Linked DNA regions of Rhinolophus ferrumequinum. The protein of the gene in region 1 binds, or shares a complex with, the protein of each later gene. Links are inferred from orthologs where the notes say so. Each region holds a gene or a part of one and is shown on either strand. Other genes may lie near its edges.

Region 1 (9,876 bases):
TGAGGTTAACAACTCAATCCAGGGCCTCCCAGTAGTAGCTGACCCCAGGATGGGGTTAAATGTACCTGGATATTGTCAGGGACAACTCCTACAAGAGGAAACGGGAGGGAGCTGGGAGACAGCCATGCGGGTCTGGCCCTGAGTGAAGGGCCAGGGAAGAAACGCTGGGTGGAAGTGGCTAAGGAAAGTTTAGCAAGGCCAGTCACCTGCCTAGGTGGCTCTGTGCACTGTCACCAGCTGGGAGTGGGCAGCGGCAGCGTGGCCTTTGGAGCACAAGGTGATAGACCACAGAGCCCTGTGGGTGGGCCCCCAGAGACGCCAGCTTGGGGGCTCACCTAGAGGCACAGAGGGAGGCCTCCACAGCCTTGGGAAGTGCAGGGAGCTTCCAGGAGCGGGGTCTAAACCGAGTATCAAAGCAAAGGCAAGGGAGGGCGTGCAGTCACTGGGTACTGAGCACCAGGCAGGGGCAGCAGACGCCCACACGTACAAGGCTTCCCAGAACCTAAATACCAACAGGTGTGTGCAGAGTTTGTGCCCAGTGGAGGGAACTGTGGCCCCAGAAAGCAAACTGGAAGCACTTAATGCCCACCCGAGGGGGACTGGCTACGCTCACAGGGAAAGCTGGCAGTGAGACTACACTCATGGCAAATCCCAACAGTCTAAACCTACAGAGTCATCAGTGATTTCTACTAACAGACAACAGTCTAGAAGTACAGACACCAAACTGATTCGCAGGGAGAGGTATTGTCCTTTTTAACTTAATGAACACTAAGCTTATTACAAAAAGTTATGGGTATAGTTAGATTAAAAGAAAAAGTTTCCCCTGAAATATAAAAAGTACCCATGAGAATGAAATATTAAGTCACTTGGGGTTGTTGTCACGCAGCAGCCTACCCGTCTGTCCCCTCGTACCTGCCCCTAAAGGAAGGAGAGTCTGTGAGACTAATCCTTTCAGGGACTGTGCTTCACCTTTGAGCTTGCACCTTATGTCTCCCTGTTTGGCCCCGGAGGATGGCTGGTCAGCCAATGACGGGTAAGATTCCCCATAGGGGGCAGGGGGCGGACAACTCAAGCCAGGCGCAGTGGAGTGGGGACCAACAGGAGAATCCACGGGGTTCATAGAGGTGGGCACAGCCCCTCCCCCCCGCCCCAAGGAGAGCCTCTGCCTCAGTGGCTGCATTCCTTCCCACAACCTGCAGGGGAAGAGACTCAATGGTGTGCTCTCCATCTATTCATATGCATACAGGTTTTGTCCCTCAGGGAAGTACACACATCCTGAGACTCACGGTTCTGCTGCCTGCAGGCAAGGGTGACTGGCTTGTATCAGTTTCCTATTATGATGTGTGGGATTCACAGATCTTGAGATTGACAAGCTTTATCTCCTTTACTTACCCACCTAACTAATAAAAGCTAAGCGTAGGCCCAATTCAGGGCGTCCAGTCCTTGAGGCTGCCGGTCCCTTGGCCCCCGCTTAAACTCTATTCAGGGCTACTGTCTTTCTTAACCCTGCGCTGCCCTCCTCACTCCCCACAACCCTCGTCGTGCAGGACGCGACAGGGATTTCTCCTAGTCGTATCCAACTTTTAGAAGCAACAGCATTCCCCAGTGGATTCCCCCCTACTTGCCAACATCATCCTTGCTGTATCTTAAGGACAATAAATTCAAGCACCCATAAATGTGTGAATTAGGCCACTATTTTTCAAACTTTGAGGACTCATTTCAAGAAATATGCTTTCCATGCTAACCCAATACACACATACAGGTACACTTAGTATCCTAAGCCGAACTAAAAGTTTATCAAGAAACAAGAGTTACCCTACGTGCTGCTTGCGGTCTGGGATTTTCGTTTTTCTTTTTTACATAACCCATTAAATTGAATTCATAACCCACTATGGGGTCAGAGAATGAGATTTGGAAATAGCAAGGCAGACAACTTCCTGGGATGCTCTGGCACTCACAGAAGCCTGCATTACGTCACTTACTGCACCCTCATAAGCACTCTGTGAGGAGGGGAGGCAGCTGTCGCCCCCACTTTACAGGTGAGGAAACCAGTCAGGGGCTTTCCCAAGGTCACACAGTTAAACAGGTCCAAGAACTTGGACTCAGGTCTCCTAAACTTCATACAATATAACTTCCACTAAATCACCCTGCCTTTCCACATGGTTTTTAAAGTTACTGCTAAGCCTCATTTCTATACCATATGGATGTTTTAAGCTAAAATCTATCATAAAAAGTAAACTTTGCAGGGGGGAGGGAATTGTACTGGTACAGAAAAAACGATATTGTCAGAAGTCTCTTGAAGGGGTGTGGTGGGGTGGGAGGGGAGAGCCTATTTTAGAGAGTGGGGGAACTAGCAGAGTAATTCAGCAATCCTTGCCTGCAGTGCCACAGGGACAGAGATGAAAGTCAAGTCAGAAGTGACGTCTCAGTAATGACCCTCGAGACCATGACAACCTGAATACAAAAGATCACAGGTGTCTGTGCCACATTCTGCTGGGAATCGCCAATAGGCTAAGGGCAAGGTCCATGCAGAAACCTGACTTTTGAGGACTTCCAGCACCAGCCTGGCACTGTGCTATTTAAAAAATGCTTCCATCATCAATGCACCCGTTGAATGGGCCCCAAGCCTGTGGGAAAGACGTTATCAATTTCCACCAATTCCAAATGAAGAAACCAAGGGTCGGGGTACTGCCCAGTGATGATGGACACACCCTCCTAAAAACCCAGGTGCCCTAACTGGAGTGTGTTTCTCTGCAGGAAAGGCCCAGTGGCCTGTCCTCAGCATCTGGAACAGGCTGCTCAGTGAGGGAAACCAGGGAGGATAACCAGTGCAAAAAAAGAAATCTATGGGTGCAAACCAAATTTGCTTAGCCACTGCTCGGTAACAGGGGCCAACCAGCTACTCTTTTAACTCAGAAAGAAACTGAAGATCAGGACTAGAGTTAGCTGCACATTGTAACACTTGCCATTAGGCAGAGCTTCAACATAAAGCAAAACCCAGGGAAGGGAAAGGTGATGGAAATGAGAGAAAATAACCTAATTACATTTCAGTGAAGTCACACCTATTCTGAAAAAGTGCTACACAGGCAGGAACTCAGGCTCCCAGCACAGGGACCTGGGCTGCGGGTGCCTATGCCTCCCAGCAAATTCAACTTCCTCCGCACCTTCCAGTCTGTCAAGTACACTTGCCTGGGTGCCATTGTGAGGAGGGCATTAGCCTCAGGCAGTGGGACCTGCACAGCACCAAACAGCTGCTCTCCTCAGGGTAGCCTCTCTCCATGCAGCCTGTAAAGCGGAGACTTTCTTTAATGTCCCACTGTATAAGGGAGGGCTTGGGCCTCATCCATGAGGCCAAAGGTCTGGTGGCTACTAACTGTCCCCATTCCTCCTAAATCTAGGTCACAGGTTGGGGAGAGGAGAAAAAGGAAGGAAATGGTGCCCACTGTTACAATTTTACTTCTGGAAACCTTTCCCTCACCCTGGCTTTTGGGTTTCTAGTTAAAGTCGGCTTCCCCATTCCAGGAGCCCTTAGCAGCTTCCTTATTTTGGGCAGGGACACTCCTAGCCTCCCCTCCCTCTCTAAGAGGGGCGGGCCCCACCTTCCCCAGGACACGTGCCCACGAGGCAAGGACCAGTTCCGGGCCAGGCCGCAGGCAGCGACCTGGCCACGCACTAATCCCATAGGGGGTTCCTCTGGGGGCGGCCTGCGGACAGGAAGGTTCCGCAACCAGGAGTCCAGAGGCTTAGGGCGAGGCCGGGGACCCTATGTTTTGAACAGGTGATCCCAAAACACAAGGTTGGAAGGCCGCCGCTCGAGGGGACCTGCGAAGTCTCTTCCGGAGTCACCGGCGGGGAGGGGGAAGCAGCCCCCATTGCCGAGCGTATAAACTGAGACTCCAGGAGGGAGGCCACCCAGCGGCAGGGTCCCGCAGGCGAGCAGATACATGGGGGGTGGGGGGAGTCTGAGAACCGCAGCTTTGAGGGCCTCCGGGGTCTCTTCTGGGGCCGCCTTGGGCCCTCAGGGGTACACTGAGGTTCGGACAGAGGGTGTGCGGCGCCCAGACCGCGGGCAGGTGGGACTCGAGCCGGGAGCGGGACCTCTAGGGCGGGCTGCAGGCCAGGATGGAGGGTCGGGGTCGCGAGCAGAGCCAGGCCGGCCCCGCGCGGCGCTCCGGTCTCACCTCGTCCTCCTTGTGGTTGCGGATGCCGCGCACCAGGTCCTGCAGGTTCTTATCGAACATGCGGTCGATGCTGCCCTTGACCATCTTGAGGGCCATCGCGGCGGCCACCGGCAGGCTCGAGCCCCGGGAGGCTCGCGGGTGAGTGCCGTGCGGGGGTCTGGGGGCTGCGCCTGCCGCCCGCGGAGTGCTTGCCGCCGCGGCGGGACGGGATCCCAGGCCAGGCCCGCGGCGGTCTGCGAGGAGGAGGAAGAGGCGGCGGCGGGCGGAACCCGCTGGGCAGGCCGCACTGCCCTCCCCTCACGCTTCGCCGCGCTTGCAAATGGCGGACAAGATGGCGGCCGGTCAGCTGACCGCGGGTGCCGCGGCGGCCGGCCCTCCCGGAAGCCCCGCCTCCCACTAAGACCCGCCCCCTAACTCCGGATATCACATTTCCCTGACGACGCCAGGCCGCCCAATGGAAACGCAGACAACCCTGTCTGCGCCCACATGGCCCCGCCCACTCCCTCTCAGGTCTCTTCCCTCTCATTGGTCAGTGTCCTCAGGAGCTCCACCCACTTCCTCGTTTCGGTTCCAACCATGCCCCCCTAGGAGAAACCTCCCAGTCCGCCCCTCAGTTAAGTGACAGAAGTGGGCGGGGCCTGCTGTGGGCGGGGTGCTCACGTGGAGCTTCTTAGGCAAGTTCCTGGAGAAGAATCCTGCTCCGCCTTTCTGATTCTAAAAGCTGACGCTGCTTGAGAACCTTAAAACCTACGCTGCAGAGATCCGCTTCTGCGTCTCTTGCAAGTCTCACAAAATCGTGTGATATGAGCAGGAAAAGGAAACCATGGCCCAGAGCTAGGACTCCCAAGCAGTCATTCATTCAACATTTATTGGAGGACCTGCTGTGTGTGCCAAGCATGGTAGCGATCCCTGGACACCCAGCAGTGAATGAGATACCTGCGGTGCTTGCCCTCCGGATACACCACTAAGAGAATAAAAAAGCAAGCCACAAACTGGGATAAGCCATTTGCAATACATATATTTGACAAAGGACTTATTGCCATAATATGGTTCAACAAGCAGAAAACAAAGCAGAACAAGACAAAAATGCCTACAAATCATGAAGAAAAAAAACCTACTTAAAACATGGCAAAAAACAAACGTGCGTTTCAGAAAAGAAGACATCCAAATGGTCAGTGGATATGTACAATGGTTATATGCTCCATCTCAGTCATCAGGAAAATATAAATTTAAACCACAATGTGATATGTCTCTGTACCCCTATGAGAATGGATAAAATTAGAAAGATTGATGACATCAAATGCTGAACTCTCCTCTTTTATACTTAAAGTAGAACAGTAAAACTACACAGCTAAATTAGAAACCCACCTGGCTGTTTCTTAAAACTAACATATGCATATCCTATGACCCAGCAATTCCAGTACTGTTCCTAACAAGAATGCATTAATATATCCATCAAACATTCGGACAAGAATATTCAAAGTAGTTGTATTTATATTAGCCAAAAATCCAAAATAACCCAAATGTCCATCAACAGAAATTGATAAGTAACTTGTGACATATTCACACAATACTATGCAGCAATGAAAAATAACAAATTATTAATACACCGAACAAAATGGATGAATTACACAGACACATTATTATGTTGAACACAATAAGACAAATACAAAAGATTGTACAAAGTATGATTCTATTGATGTGAAGTTCAATTACAGGTGAAACTAATCTAAAATGATAGTTAAGTATTAAGAATGACTAAGATTTTTAGCATAAATAATTCATACCAGAAGACAATGGAATAATATTTTTAAAGTACCAAAACAAAATAAACCCCTATAATTCTATATCCAGTAACAATGTATTTTAAAAAATGAAGGCAAAATACATATTTTCAGACAAATAAAAGCTGAGAGAATTTATGAGCAGTAGACCTACATTAAGAAAAATGTTAAAGAATATTCTTTGGGACAGAAGGAAAATGATGCCAAACAGAGATTTGGATCTATGCAAAAGAAAGAACACAAGAAATGTTTAAAATGTGGAAAATATAATTATTTCTCGATTTACAAAAATGGTAATTGACTCTTTAAAGCAAAAATAACAATAATGTATGGTGAGTTTACTTGTAACATATTTAAAGTAACACAGTAGTATATATAAGAATAGAAGGTGGAAATGGAAATGTACTGTTGTAAGGGTCTTACATTATGTGTGAAGAAGTAGTGTGGTATAACCCTAGGAAAATCACTAAAAATAAAGAGGAATCATTAATAAGACAATTATAGGTATAAATGGAATAATAAAAAAATGGTCAATCCAAAATAAAGCAACGAGGAAAAAGATTACAAAGAACAGGAGGGAAAAATAGCAAGACGGTAGATTTAAACCCGACCATATTGATACTTCCATTAAATGTAGTAAGTGGTCTAAACACTAATCACTAATTCAATGGTGGAAACTGACAGCACTGATAACACACACACACACACACACACACACACACACACACACACACACACGGTGCCAAAAACATGCATACACATTTTAAGAAATGTTAACACTTTGATCAACATTGCTCAAGCAGTAGTTCGCCATAATCAGAAGTGTCTGGACTCTGATGGTAACCACTTTGAGCACCTCTTATAATTGCAGAAGTCAAACATTACTTATAGGGCCGGCCTGTGGCTCAGGCGGTTGGAGCTCCGTGCTCCTAACTCTGAAGGTTGCCAGTTCGATTCCCGCATGGGCCAGTGGGCTCTCAACCACAAGGTTGCCGGTGCAAGAGATGGTGGGCTGCGCACCCTGCAACTAGTAACGGCAACTGGACCTGGAGCTGAGCTGCATGCACCCTCCACAACTAAGCCTGAAAGGACAACAACTTGACCTGGAAAAAAAGTCCTGGAAGTACACACTGTTCCTCAATAAAGTCCTGTTCACCTTCCCCAGTAAAATCTTTAAAAAAAATAAAACACACAAAAACGTGACTTGCATTCATTTTTTGTTATCTATATATATGTTGAGTGTTACAATGTTAATAGTTTTCCTTTCTTAAAATGTCTATAAGTATTTTTGGCACCCTCCGTATATATGTTGTCCACTTTATTTTTAAAAATATTTTTATTAAGATATAGCTAACATATATTAGTTTCAGGTATTACATCATAGTTATTCAACAGTACCCACCTGGTACTATACATAGTTATTACCCTATAATTGATTATGTTCTCTATGCTAAAGAAGTGATAACCATTGATAAAAGCGAACTGGCATTTTAAGGAAACCGACCAGGGAGTTGGGAGGTCATGGATGGAGCGGGGCTTCCTGTTACTCTCTAGTCCCGACTTCCTGGTCAGTTTCCTTAAAGTGCCAGTTCACTTTTATCTCCATGATAAGTCCAGCAACCATCTGACACCATAATCACGCTATCACAATATTACTGACTATATTTCCTATGCTGTATATTACATCCCCAAGACTTTTTTATACCTGGAACTTTGAACCTCTTATTTCCCTTTATCTTTTCCCCCTTTTTAAAAATTTTCAATTACACTTGACATTCAAAATTATTTCATATTAATTTCAAGGATACAGCATAGGGGTTAGACATTTATATAATTTACGAAATGATCCCCCTGCCTAGTACCTACCTGGAACTATACCTAATTATTACCATATTATTGATTATCTTCCCTATGCTTTACATGCCCACTACAGCTTTATAACCACCCATTTGTATTTCTTAACCCCTTCACCTTTATCATCCTGCCCGAAACACCCTCCCATCTATCACCCCAACAAATCTAGCACCCATCTGACACCATACAGTTCTTACAATATTATTAACTATATTCCTAACGCTATACTTTAAATCCCCGTGACTGCTTTGTAACTACCCATTTGTACTTCTTAATCCCTTCCCCTTTTTCACCCACCCCCAAACCCCCTCCCATCTGGCAACCATCAAAATGTTCTCTGTATCTATGAGTTTGTTTCTGTTTTGTTTGTTTGCTTGTCTTGTTCTTTAGAATCCACTTATAAGTATAATCATATGACATTTATTTGTCTTTCGCTGTCTGACTTACCATACTCAGCACAATACCCTTTAGGTCCATCCATGTTGTCACAGATGGCGAGACTTCATTCTTTTTTGTGGCTGAGTAATAGTCCATTGTATATACCAGGGGTACCAAAAAAATGTATACAAGTGGACACTTTGGTCAACGTTGCTCAAGCAGTAGTTCACCATAATCAGAAGTGTCTGGACGCTGATGGTAACAACTTTGAGCACCTTTTGTAATTGCAGAAGTCAAACACAACTTGTATTCATCTCTTGTTACCAAGTATATATCGAACACTACAATTTCAACAGTTTTTTCCTTTCTTAAAATGTGTGTATATTTTTTGGCACCTTCTGTATGTACCACCTCTTCTTTATCCATTCATCCATTCAGGGACATCCAGGTTGCATTCATATCTTGGCTGATGTGAACATTGTTGCAATGAACATGTGGATGAGCGTGTTCCCTTGAAGCAGTATTTCGGGTTTGTTCAGATAAATATCCAGGAGTGGGATTACTAGGTTCTTCTTTGTGTCTTGTTATAGTCTTTGTTTTAAAGTCTATTTTGTCTGGTATAAGTATTGATACCTCAGTTTCCTTAAAGTGCCAGTTCACTTTAAGAACTTTTTTTGGTTTGTTTGTTTCCATTTTCATGAAATATCTTTTTCCATCCCTTTACTTTCAGTCTGCATGTGTCTTTTGATCTGAAGTGAGTCTCTTGTAGGCAGCATATGTGAGGGTCTTGATTTGTTATCCTTTCAGCTCCCCATCTTTTGATTGAAGCATTTAATTCATTTACATTGAAAGTAATTGTTCATAGGTATGTAGTTATTGCCATTTTATTATTCTTATTTTTTATTTTTTATTTTTTTCGTCTTAAAGAAGTCCCTCTAAGAGTCCTTAAAATATTGATTTGGTGGTGATGAACTCTTAGCTTTTTCTTGTCTGGGGAGCTCTTCATCTGTCCTTCGATTCTAAATGATAGCTTTGCTGGGTAGAGTAATACTGGCTGTAGGTCCTTGCTTTTCATCACTTTGAATATTTTCTGCCAGTCCCTTCTGATCTACAAAGTTTCTGTTCAGAAATCAGCTGATCATCTTATGGGAGCTCCCTTGTAGGTAACTAACTGCTTTTCTCTTGCTGCTTATAAGATTCTCTGTCTTTAACCTTTGGCATTTTAATTATGATGTGTCTTGGTGTGGGCCTCTTTGGATTTATCTTGTTTGGTATTCTCTCTCTGTGCTTCCTGGGCTTGTATATCTATTTCCTTCACCAGGTTAGAAAAGTTTTCCATCATTATTTCTTCAAATAGGTTTTCAATTCCTTACTCTTTCTCTTCTCCTTCTGGTACCCCTATAAAATATATATTGGTATGTTTGATGTTGCCCAAGAGGCCTGTTAAACTTTCCTCATTTTTTTGGATTTTTTTTTCTTTTGCTTTTCTGATTGGGTGTTTTCTGCTACCTTATCTTCTAAATCGCTGATTCGATCCTCTGCTTCATTTAATCTACTGTTGAGTCTCTGTAACATATTTTTCATTACCATTATTATATTCTTTATTTCTGACTGGTTCATTTTTATGTTTTCTATCTCCATTTTTATATTTACTATCTTTTTGCTGAAGTTCTCCTTGA
Region 2 (9,023 bases), on another chromosome or scaffold:
GGTACAGCAGAGTAATTAAAAGTGTAGACCCTGGAGTCTGGTCTTGGTTCAAAGAACAGCTCTGCTATTTTATTAGCTGTGTAAACTTGGACAAGTTTCTCAAGCCCAGTTCCTCAGTTTTTCACCTGTGAAATGAGGATGCTAATGGTAACTGCCTCACAGGATTGGATGAGGATTGAATGAATTAATATATGCAAAGCACTAAGAAGAGTGTCTGGAACATACTAAGATAATTGAACTATAACAGTGGGATGGTATGTGAGTGATTTTTGAATTATGTAATATAATTCATAAAAATAAACAATCAAGTATTTTTTAATATATGACCATTAAATATTTTCACCATTACTGCCTTGTGTTATAGCATTGTACATATTCAAGTAGAGGCTTGTCTCTTCTATTATGATGTCTTTTGAGGATAAGGCCTGGCTTTTCCTCGAGTATGTTCCCTACGTGATCTCCAGCACGTGCCATGTACAAGGTAGTTCCATAGGTATTTGTTGAATGTATTAATAAAATATTCAGATTCCTCTTTGCACATAAATATTTCAGAGCTTCAACATTTAGTAAGCAGTGTTAGAAGGAAGCTGATCCTATCATTTCAACATTTAGCGGCAAGTCCAGAGATTTTGTTAACATAGATTTGCTTCCACATGACGCAGTATTCTGAAAGTGTTACTTCCTTTTCCCTATTCACAAGAGTTTTATTTTTAAATGAGGATGAGAACTAATAATTTTTAGAAACTTTGAATCTCAGAAAGGTTAAGAACATGCCTTGCCTTCATACATCTTGCTAGTGAGGCAGTCAGGGTTCAAACGTGGGTCTGGCTGATTGTCCTTTTTGCTGCTAAAGTGAAGTGGAAAGAAAGGCTATATTCACTGACTTCATAAGTGAGCCTCAGAGAAGACATACAGGAAGAGATTTCCAGTAGTCCTGTCCTTCAGCAGTGCTTCACTTTGCTGAGCACATTCCCTAGCTATTTAAACTTCTTCCAAAACCCAGGAGTGATAAACTTCTTTCAATGTATTAGGAATAAGAGGGAAAGTATAATGACATGATCATTTTGTATAACTTAAGCCTTTGCCTCTGAGATTAAGGCCATCTAAAAGTCTTCAATAAGAGAATCATAAGTGGCCTAAAATATTCCCTTTGTGATATTTAGTAATATAGCCTCTCTTTATTCATAAATCGTTTCAAATAAACATTAGTGATGATCTCATGTAGGGTTGAAGACACTGCATTTTCCAAATCAATTTCATTATAAAATATAATAATGAGGTCATGGCATTTTCAACACATACATTTGCAGGTATGTACCATTTTAGAAAACCTAAAGAATGAAAAACCCCAAATGCTCGATAAATTGGAGGATTGCATCCATTCAATTTCAGAAGAGTTCTTCATGTTCCAAATTGATCAATCACTGCGGTTCTTTAAACAGGAAAGCATAACTCATGTTCATTTAACAGAAGAAACTTTGTACTCTATTTGGAAAAATTCTCCTTAATGTAATGCAAGTATTCCACAGGGATGTGTATTCGAGAGTGACATATAGTAACTAAACAGATTAGCTGTTCCAATAAATTCTGTAACCAGTGAGGGTGGGGATTAGGGGGAGGTGCTATATCAGAATGAGTGGTCCAGAAAGACCTCTCTGCATAGGTGATATTTAAGCTAACAGCTGAGTAAAAGCCTGAATAAAGCTGAAGGAACCAGCCTTTTGAAGACCTATTGGAAGAATGCTGCTGGCAGAAAGCTCAGCAAGCAAGGTCTCTCAGGTCAGAACAAGCTTGGTGGATCAAGGAACAGAAAGGCCAGACTGTCTGGAGGGCAGTAAACTAGGGGGAGTGGGTCACAATGAAGTCAAGAGATGTAAATGAGGGCCAGATCAATCAGGACCATGATAAGTGCATATAAATGACCTAACTTGGAGCTTCAAGAGCTTAATAAATGGAAACTCTTAGTCATTAGAGATCATATTGTTTTATTCATAATTCATTTTTTTTAAAAAAAATAGGAGTAGCTTTATTTCTTATAATGAATTCAAATGAACACTTAGAAAATACTTGTGAAATTTGAAGCTCAGATCTTCACTAATCCTGTAAATTTTAAATTCTATTAAAATCATAAGAAGAGTTATTTTCTAATAGTAAAGGCTGCTAAAACTATTTTTTATGGAATTTGTCTTACAAATATTTGTTTATTGTTTCTAGCCTAGATTTATGCTGAGGCTATTTTGTCCCAATCCTCAACCATGAGACCCCTCAATCCCAAAAACATTTTCCTGAAATTCATTCAATTTTTGTAGTTTAGTTTTAATCAATCTGGAATTTACTTATAAGTATTACGTGAGTTAGAGATGGTGGTAGGCTGCATGATGACTCCCAGTACATATCCAATTCCTAATTCCTGGAAACTGTGACTATTACCTTATATGGCAAAAGTGACTTTGCAGATGTGATCGAATTAAAGATTTTGAGATGGAAAGATTATCCTGGATTATCTGGATGGGCCTTAAATGTATTCACAAGTGTCCTTAAAAAAGGGAGGCAAAGGGAGATTTGACACAGATTGGAAAACGCAATGTGAAGACAGAGTGGATCGAGATTTACAGATACTGTGCTGTTCGCCTTGAAGAATGGAAGAAGGGGCCACAGCCAAGGAATGCAAGGAATACAAGGGATGTAGCTTTGGAAGCTAGAAAAGGCAAGAAAGGGCTTCTCCCCTAGAACCTCTGCAAAAAGTGGCCCTGCTTATACCTTAGATTGTGCACCTTAATTTTGAACTTCAGGACTCCAGAAATATAAGAATAAATTTATCCTTTTTGAAGCCACCAAAATTTGTGGGAATTTGTTACAGCAGTCATTGGAAACTAATACAGAGATCTAACTTTACACGTAGTTAACTAATTAATTGCTCTAGTGCCATTTATTGAATAATACGTTATTTCCTAAATGATCTGAAATGTTAACTTTACTATGTCAATACCTGCATATAGTTGAGTCTTTTTCTATTCTGTTCCACCAATCTATTTACTCTTGAGAAAAATACCAAACTTTTAAATTACAATAACTTTATAGTACATTTAAATGAGTGGTAGCATAATTTCTTCATCACATTATACTTTTTTTTTTTTAAATTTTTTTGCTTTAAGCTGCATTTATTCTTTCAGGTGAACTTTAGATTGAATTTGTCTAGTGGAAAAAAAAGTTGAATTTTGACTGAAACTGCATTAAATATACAGATTCACTTGAATATTCCTATTCAGAAACAGATTATCTTTTCATATTTCATATATCACCCTCCCTATTTAAACTGCAAAATTTCATAGTTTTTCTTCACTTAGGTCTTATACAGTTCTTAAGGCTTATTTCTTAAGACTTATTTGTTCTACTGTGGAATAGGATCTTTTTAAAATTACATTTTCTAATTAGATACCATTGGTGTGTCAGAGTGCTATTGTCTTTTTGCCTCTGGCAACTCTGCTTAATCAATTTAAGGTGTAATAATTTTCTCTTAGATCATCCAGCAAGATAATCATATCATCTGCAAATATTATTATAATCGTTCTCTTCTTTTTCACTACTTATTTTTCTTGTCCTATTGGATTAGCTAGAATCTAGAACGTGTAAAATGATAATGGCGTTAATGGGCCTAGTTGTCTTTTTATTGATTTCAGCTGGAATGCCTTCAGTGTTTCACTATTAAATAAGATGCTTTAGATTGTATAATTTGTGGTGGAATTTTAAGTTTATCTGTATGTGTATTTTATCTTTATATATATATGCATAAGAATGCTAAGAATATTTCTGTTTCTAGGTTACTATTTCTTTAAATCAGAAGAGCTGATGACGTGTTACTAATTTCCAATATCTATCAACATATATTATATACTTATATTAAGGATAAGTTTCTTAATGTTGAAAAATTCTTTTATTATATAAAAAACTATTGGGTAATTTTAATGTTTGCATTTTCTGTTTAGTATTTTATTTAGAAAGTCTATAGCTCCCTTTTCTTTGTATCTTCAGGCTTGGATATCAGTAAAACGCAGCGGAGAGAAAGGTTTCATTCAAGTGGAGAGGGATGGGATAAGGATTGCCTAGGGTGGATGTGAAAGTAAGGCAACACTGGCTGGAGGCAGAGGAGCAGAAACCAGTCTAACGAGGAAAAGCGATCCCGGTATTCTTAGGAAAGTTGATCTGGTGTGTTAAATGGCGTTTCAGGAGAAATCTGAAAGCTATTGATTTACAGCAGGAGGCAAGCAAAGAGGTGTCGGGGCTCGGGGAACCAACCTCCTTAAAGGATCAAAATGGGTGCAATGGATACCTTCCTCCTATGAAACTTTAAAAGCCGAGACCAGTTAACGGCAAGCGCAGGGCCTCCCTAAGGCACAGCCTATGTCCAAGCCTCTCAGCTACCTCAAAAACCCGGAGAACGTAAATCCAGGCCGGCCCTGGAGTGGCCGGCGGTGGGCTCCGGCCAGCTTGCACACTGGGCATGCGCAGGGGGTGGACCGCCTGGTCGGCTTAAGAAGCCGTGACGAGTCCGGAAGCGCCTGCGCGCGCCCCTCCGAGAACTAGTTTTGTTCCGTGTCTCTCGGGCTGGAGCGGGTCGGAGAGAACCTCGGGCAGGACCAATACGATCCCTGCCAGCATCGCAACAATGTCCAGCAACAGCTTCGCTTACAATGAGCAGTCCGGGGGAGGGGAGGCGACGGAGCTGGGTCAGGAGGCGACCTCAACCATTTCCCCCTCCGGCGCCTTCGGCCTCTTTAGCAGCGATCTGAAAAAGTGAGGAGGAAGGTTTGGGGTGCAGGGACGGGATTGAGGAGCTGGGGACCCGGGATGAGCGGGCGCCGGGCTCGGGCCCCCGGAAGGGGGTGGGATCGTCCTGAGACTTCTGCGGGGCTGGGCGGAACATTTCCCGCAGGTGGGTGGGGTTTGGTCTTTTGGGAGTGGAGGGAGTTGATGGGGACTTGGGGTGAGTGTGTGTAAGGGTCTCTGGTAGTTTCCAAACTTTAGTGCAAGAACCATTTGGAGAGCTTACGTCCCACCCCCAACGATTCTGATTGAGTTGGTTTAGGGCATAGGAATCTGAATGTTGAACGAACACTTTTAGCCAATTTAACGATTGCTGGATCAAACGTGGAGAAATTCGCAATTAGGGTGAAAGAGTTTGGGGAGTTGAGAGGGAGAGTTGGAGTGTGAGTGTTGCTTATGGGAAACAATTCTGTGACTCTGGAGTGGAGGTGCAAGGAGGTGTTCAGGCGCTTTATGAATAGATAATTTATACAAACATTAATGTTCTTGGACAATATCCTTTGCACAACAGACAAAAACAAAACCAACCCAGTTCCAAACTAAATAATAAGCATATGAGTAGAGAATAGAGTTACTATTTACAAATCCTAAAATTTTATAAGTTAATAATGTGAATTTTTAAAACAAATACTAAACAAGGTGCTCTTAGTTTTTAAAAATATGGTAAGAATATTTTAAGTACCACCATAAAATGGAATGAAAACACCCCCAAATTGTTTTTTTTTTGTGGGAGGTGTTAAACTTACAGGATGTTGGTAAGATTTATATTTTGTAATCCTTTTTTACATTTTTCTTATTTTTGATCTCTCAATACTAAACAGTATGGTTACATAATGGGTTCTCACTAGATTCATGCTAAATTAAAGTACTTGTTCTCGGTTGCTTTGCTGTTGTCAGAAGAGTATATTTAAATTTTGATAATAAGTTTTACTAACAAGATTGGGCCATCTGGAAAGTGCTCCAGTAGTTGAAATTGGGATTACATTTTGACTATTAAGCTTATTGAAATCTTGTATACATCATGTGGAATACAGTATTTTTCTTTATTCTCAGGTTAGAAAAGTTTAAAAGTAAAATAACTGATTTCTTCTCATTTTTCATTCTGTGCATTTAGAGGATGGATTGTTCTAACAAGGGGCTTGTTGCAGTTCTGTTGACAAAATGTTTCAACTGTAGAATTAACCTATAAGTCTACCTCAGTCTGTTTTGCATGTGATTTGCTTGCAATTTATTTACTTTTATGGTTTCTGAACATCTATTTTTCTCTTAGAGCCCTTGATTTCCTCTTTTGTCAGATTTAGGTCTGATTTGGAAAAAAATGTATGGCTCTGACTATGAGCAATGTGCTGTTGAGGTGCCTGAGCAGGCTGGCTTTAAAATAAAAATAGCCAACATGTATTTGAGTGCTTGTGCATTTATTATCTTTACATTTATTATCTCATTCAGTCCTGCTAACAGCCCTGTAGCTTGTTCCCAGATGTTGTACTTCTCTGATCCCACTTTGCAGATTAGGAAATTGGAGCACAAATGGTTAACTTGCTCACAATCACAAAGCTAGAACACTGCACTGTCTGAATTTGAACCCAGACACTCTTCTCTTAGAGCCTATTCTCTAGTGCTTGGATGTGCTACTTTCTACTTGATGAAATTTATGGTGCTTTTATTAGAGAATGCATACAACTCATTAAAAGTTTAAAACTGTGAAGAGTAGCTGTAAACAGTACATGACCTTGAAGCTTCCAGGAATTAGAAACATTTTGGCTATTGAACTACAACCTAATGAATGGGGTTGTACCAAATGAGACCCCTGTTCTGGAAGTGGTCACTTAATCTTTCTTGATCCTATATTCTCTCATTTGTAAAATGGTGGTATTTCTTGCCTTTAAAAACAAAACGACAAACTTTATATAAAACACTTAAAGCTTACCTTGTTTCTCTGCTCTTTTGAAATAGTTTCAGGTTTACAAAAAAGTTCTAAGTGTAGTACAGACAACTACCCTTTATGCACTCGCCAATTTAAAAAAAAATTTACTACATTGCTTTGTTTCTCTTTGTCTCTCTCTGTATACACGCACAGACACATACACACATTCATACTATTATTTTTTCTGAACCTACATGATGTAGGTTGTGTACATCATGTCCCTTTACTCTTAATACCTTAGTGTGTAGTTTTTAAGAACAAAGATTGTCTTACACAACCACACTACTGTTATATTCAGGATATTTAACATCAACATAATCTACAATATAATTAGTATAATCCAGTGTTGTCTCTTAATCCAGTAAAGAATTTTTTATTTTAGCAATTTTTTCCCTTCAGTACAGGATACAATCCAGGATCATGTATTTCATTTAGTTGTCTAATCTCTTTAATCTGGAATAGTCCCTTAGCCTTTGTCTTTCACTACCTTGACACGTTTGAAGAATGCACGCCAATTAATAGCACATTAATCAATTTGGATTTACTGGTGTTTCCTATGTTTAGATTCATGTTATGTATCCCTGGCCAGAGTATTAACGTAAGTGATGTGTCCTTCTCAGACTATTGTATCCACAGGCGTAGGATGTCCATCTTAATAATAATTGTCTAGTTGTCCATTATTTCTTTTTTACCAGTAATTTATCGATGGGGGGACACTTTGAGAACATGCAGATGTCTTGCTCCTCATTAAGTTCACCACCCCCTATATTTAGCAACCATTGATGAATCTCCTGAACTAGTCTTTGCCACGATGGCTGCAAAATTTTGATGTTCCACCTCTGACTCCTACTATTCTGCTCTTTGGCCTCTTGTCCTAGAGCCCTGTGTCCTTTCATCCTTCACTAACCATCACAAGGATGCCTGATCACTTCCTAGTCACAGGATTATTGATGATTTTGTTTTTTAAATTTAATCTTATTTATCAATTTTATTTATCCTCACGCCCCTTTAAACAAAACCAAAATTAGGGAGTTTTAGAAACTCCCTAATTTTAGGGAAGATCCTATATATCATTTATTGGTTAATCAAGCCTGTATATTAGATTGTTGGCTTCACTATTTTCAGTTCTTGATTTAAAATGTAAAGAATTAATTTTTTTGTATTTCTTTTTTTGAGACTGTTGTAAACTTTTCTTGCTTTTAGTTTTTTTCCTAAATTATTTTCGTTTGTCTTAAACAAGCTCTTTTTTAATCTTTACCAACTGCCTGTGTGTATAATTTAAAAATAATTCTAATTTATTTCTGGATTAAACATTTAGTTAGGAATTAATTTCTAGAAGGAAACGGGACTAAATTAATTTTTCTTAATAATAGTAAGACTACTAAATCTCCTGATTTCTTTTAAGAGCATCTCAGTGCATTAGAAAAGCATTGGACCTAGAGTGAGAAGACCTGGATATAAGTTAATGCTTTCCACTTGTAGTAATGTTTCCTCATTCAAGTTGTTTGATCTCTTCAAGCACTGTCCTCATTTCTAAAAAGGGTATGGTAATACTTGCCTGTCTTATGAAGTTCTCACAAGGTGGTGTAGTTAAAAGTGATTTCTAAACCAGTATATTAACTAACACTATTTGGAAAAGTTAGTGCAAGTTTCACTGACGTGGTGACATGTTAGGTCTGAAAGCCTGAGGTTTTTACCAGGTGGAGGGAAGGAGTTTTTCAGACAAACCAGGTAGAAACCAGGAGAGCTGCAAAAGAAAACGCATGTTCAGCTGACATACAGATTAAGGCATCAGCATTTAGAACTTTAGGTAGTAATCAGAGCCCAGGAATGGATGAAACCATCCTGGGAGAACTTTTCTTGTTAGAGGAGAAGGCTATTTAGAGAAGTCTCTAGGCAACACCAATATTTTAAGTGTGAATGGAAAAAGAACTAGGGAGAAAGAGAGTGCTCAAAGGGATAGGAAACCAGAGGAAGCTTAAAAAAAAAAAGGAAGCTAAGAGTAAAGTTAGTAAGAGAAAACAGTCACCTATAAGGGGTTGCATAATGAGGACAAAGAAGAATAAAGGCAGAAAAGAGGCCTCGGGTTTAACAATGAAAAGGTCTTAGCAACCAGTGACTTAGCAGTGCAGTACCACTTGAAACACATGGAAATGTAGCATTTTTAGTCCTTGATGAAATTGGGGTGGACTTTTCATTTGTTTAGGTTCATAGAGCCAATTTAGTATGCTTTTCTGTAGTCATACTATAGCATGTAATTATGATACAATCAAAA

What was found.
Region 2: the proteins of AP3D1 (region 1) and AP3B1 are in contact, whole or in part, in a cryo-EM structure (PDB 9C5C), measured with the Homo sapiens proteins. The link is inferred for Rhinolophus ferrumequinum from reciprocal best matches to the Homo sapiens genes AP3D1 and AP3B1. Residues at the interface, in NP_003929.4 of Homo sapiens: Lys352, Leu442, Ile446, Ser471, Tyr483, Trp487, Glu491, His517, Ala520, Val521, Gln524, Asn525, Lys528, Val561, Gln562, Ser563, Ala564, Leu566, Glu567, Gln569, Glu570, Arg571, Ser573, Cys574, Gln577, Leu578, His581, Ile582, Leu585, Lys588; in NP_003655.3 of Homo sapiens: Asn75, Lys466, Lys467, Gln470, Val494, Ala497, Ser498, Trp501, Leu531, Leu534, Gln535, Asn538, Lys542, Asn567, Tyr568, Asp569, Asp572, Arg573, Arg575, Phe576, Ile577, Gln579, Leu580, Lys586, Gly588, Ala589, Leu590, Ser591, Tyr593, Lys596.

Annotation. Positions count from the first base shown.
Region 1 is NC_046301.1:61,102,844-61,112,719, reverse strand, and holds the start of AP3D1 (AP-3 complex subunit delta-1), read right to left. Parts: upstream 4,529-9,876; 5' UTR 4,278-4,528; coding exon 4,182-4,277; intron 1-4,181. UniProt on the Homo sapiens protein: Part of the AP-3 complex, an adaptor-related complex which is not clathrin-associated. The complex is associated with the Golgi region as well as more peripheral structures.
Region 2 is NC_046290.1:50,197,396-50,206,418, reverse strand, and holds the start of AP3B1 (AP-3 complex subunit beta-1), read left to right. Parts: upstream 1-4,526; 5' UTR 4,527-4,666; coding exon 4,667-4,794; intron 4,795-9,023. UniProt on the Homo sapiens protein: Subunit of non-clathrin- and clathrin-associated adaptor protein complex 3 (AP-3) that plays a role in protein sorting in the late-Golgi/trans-Golgi network (TGN) and/or endosomes.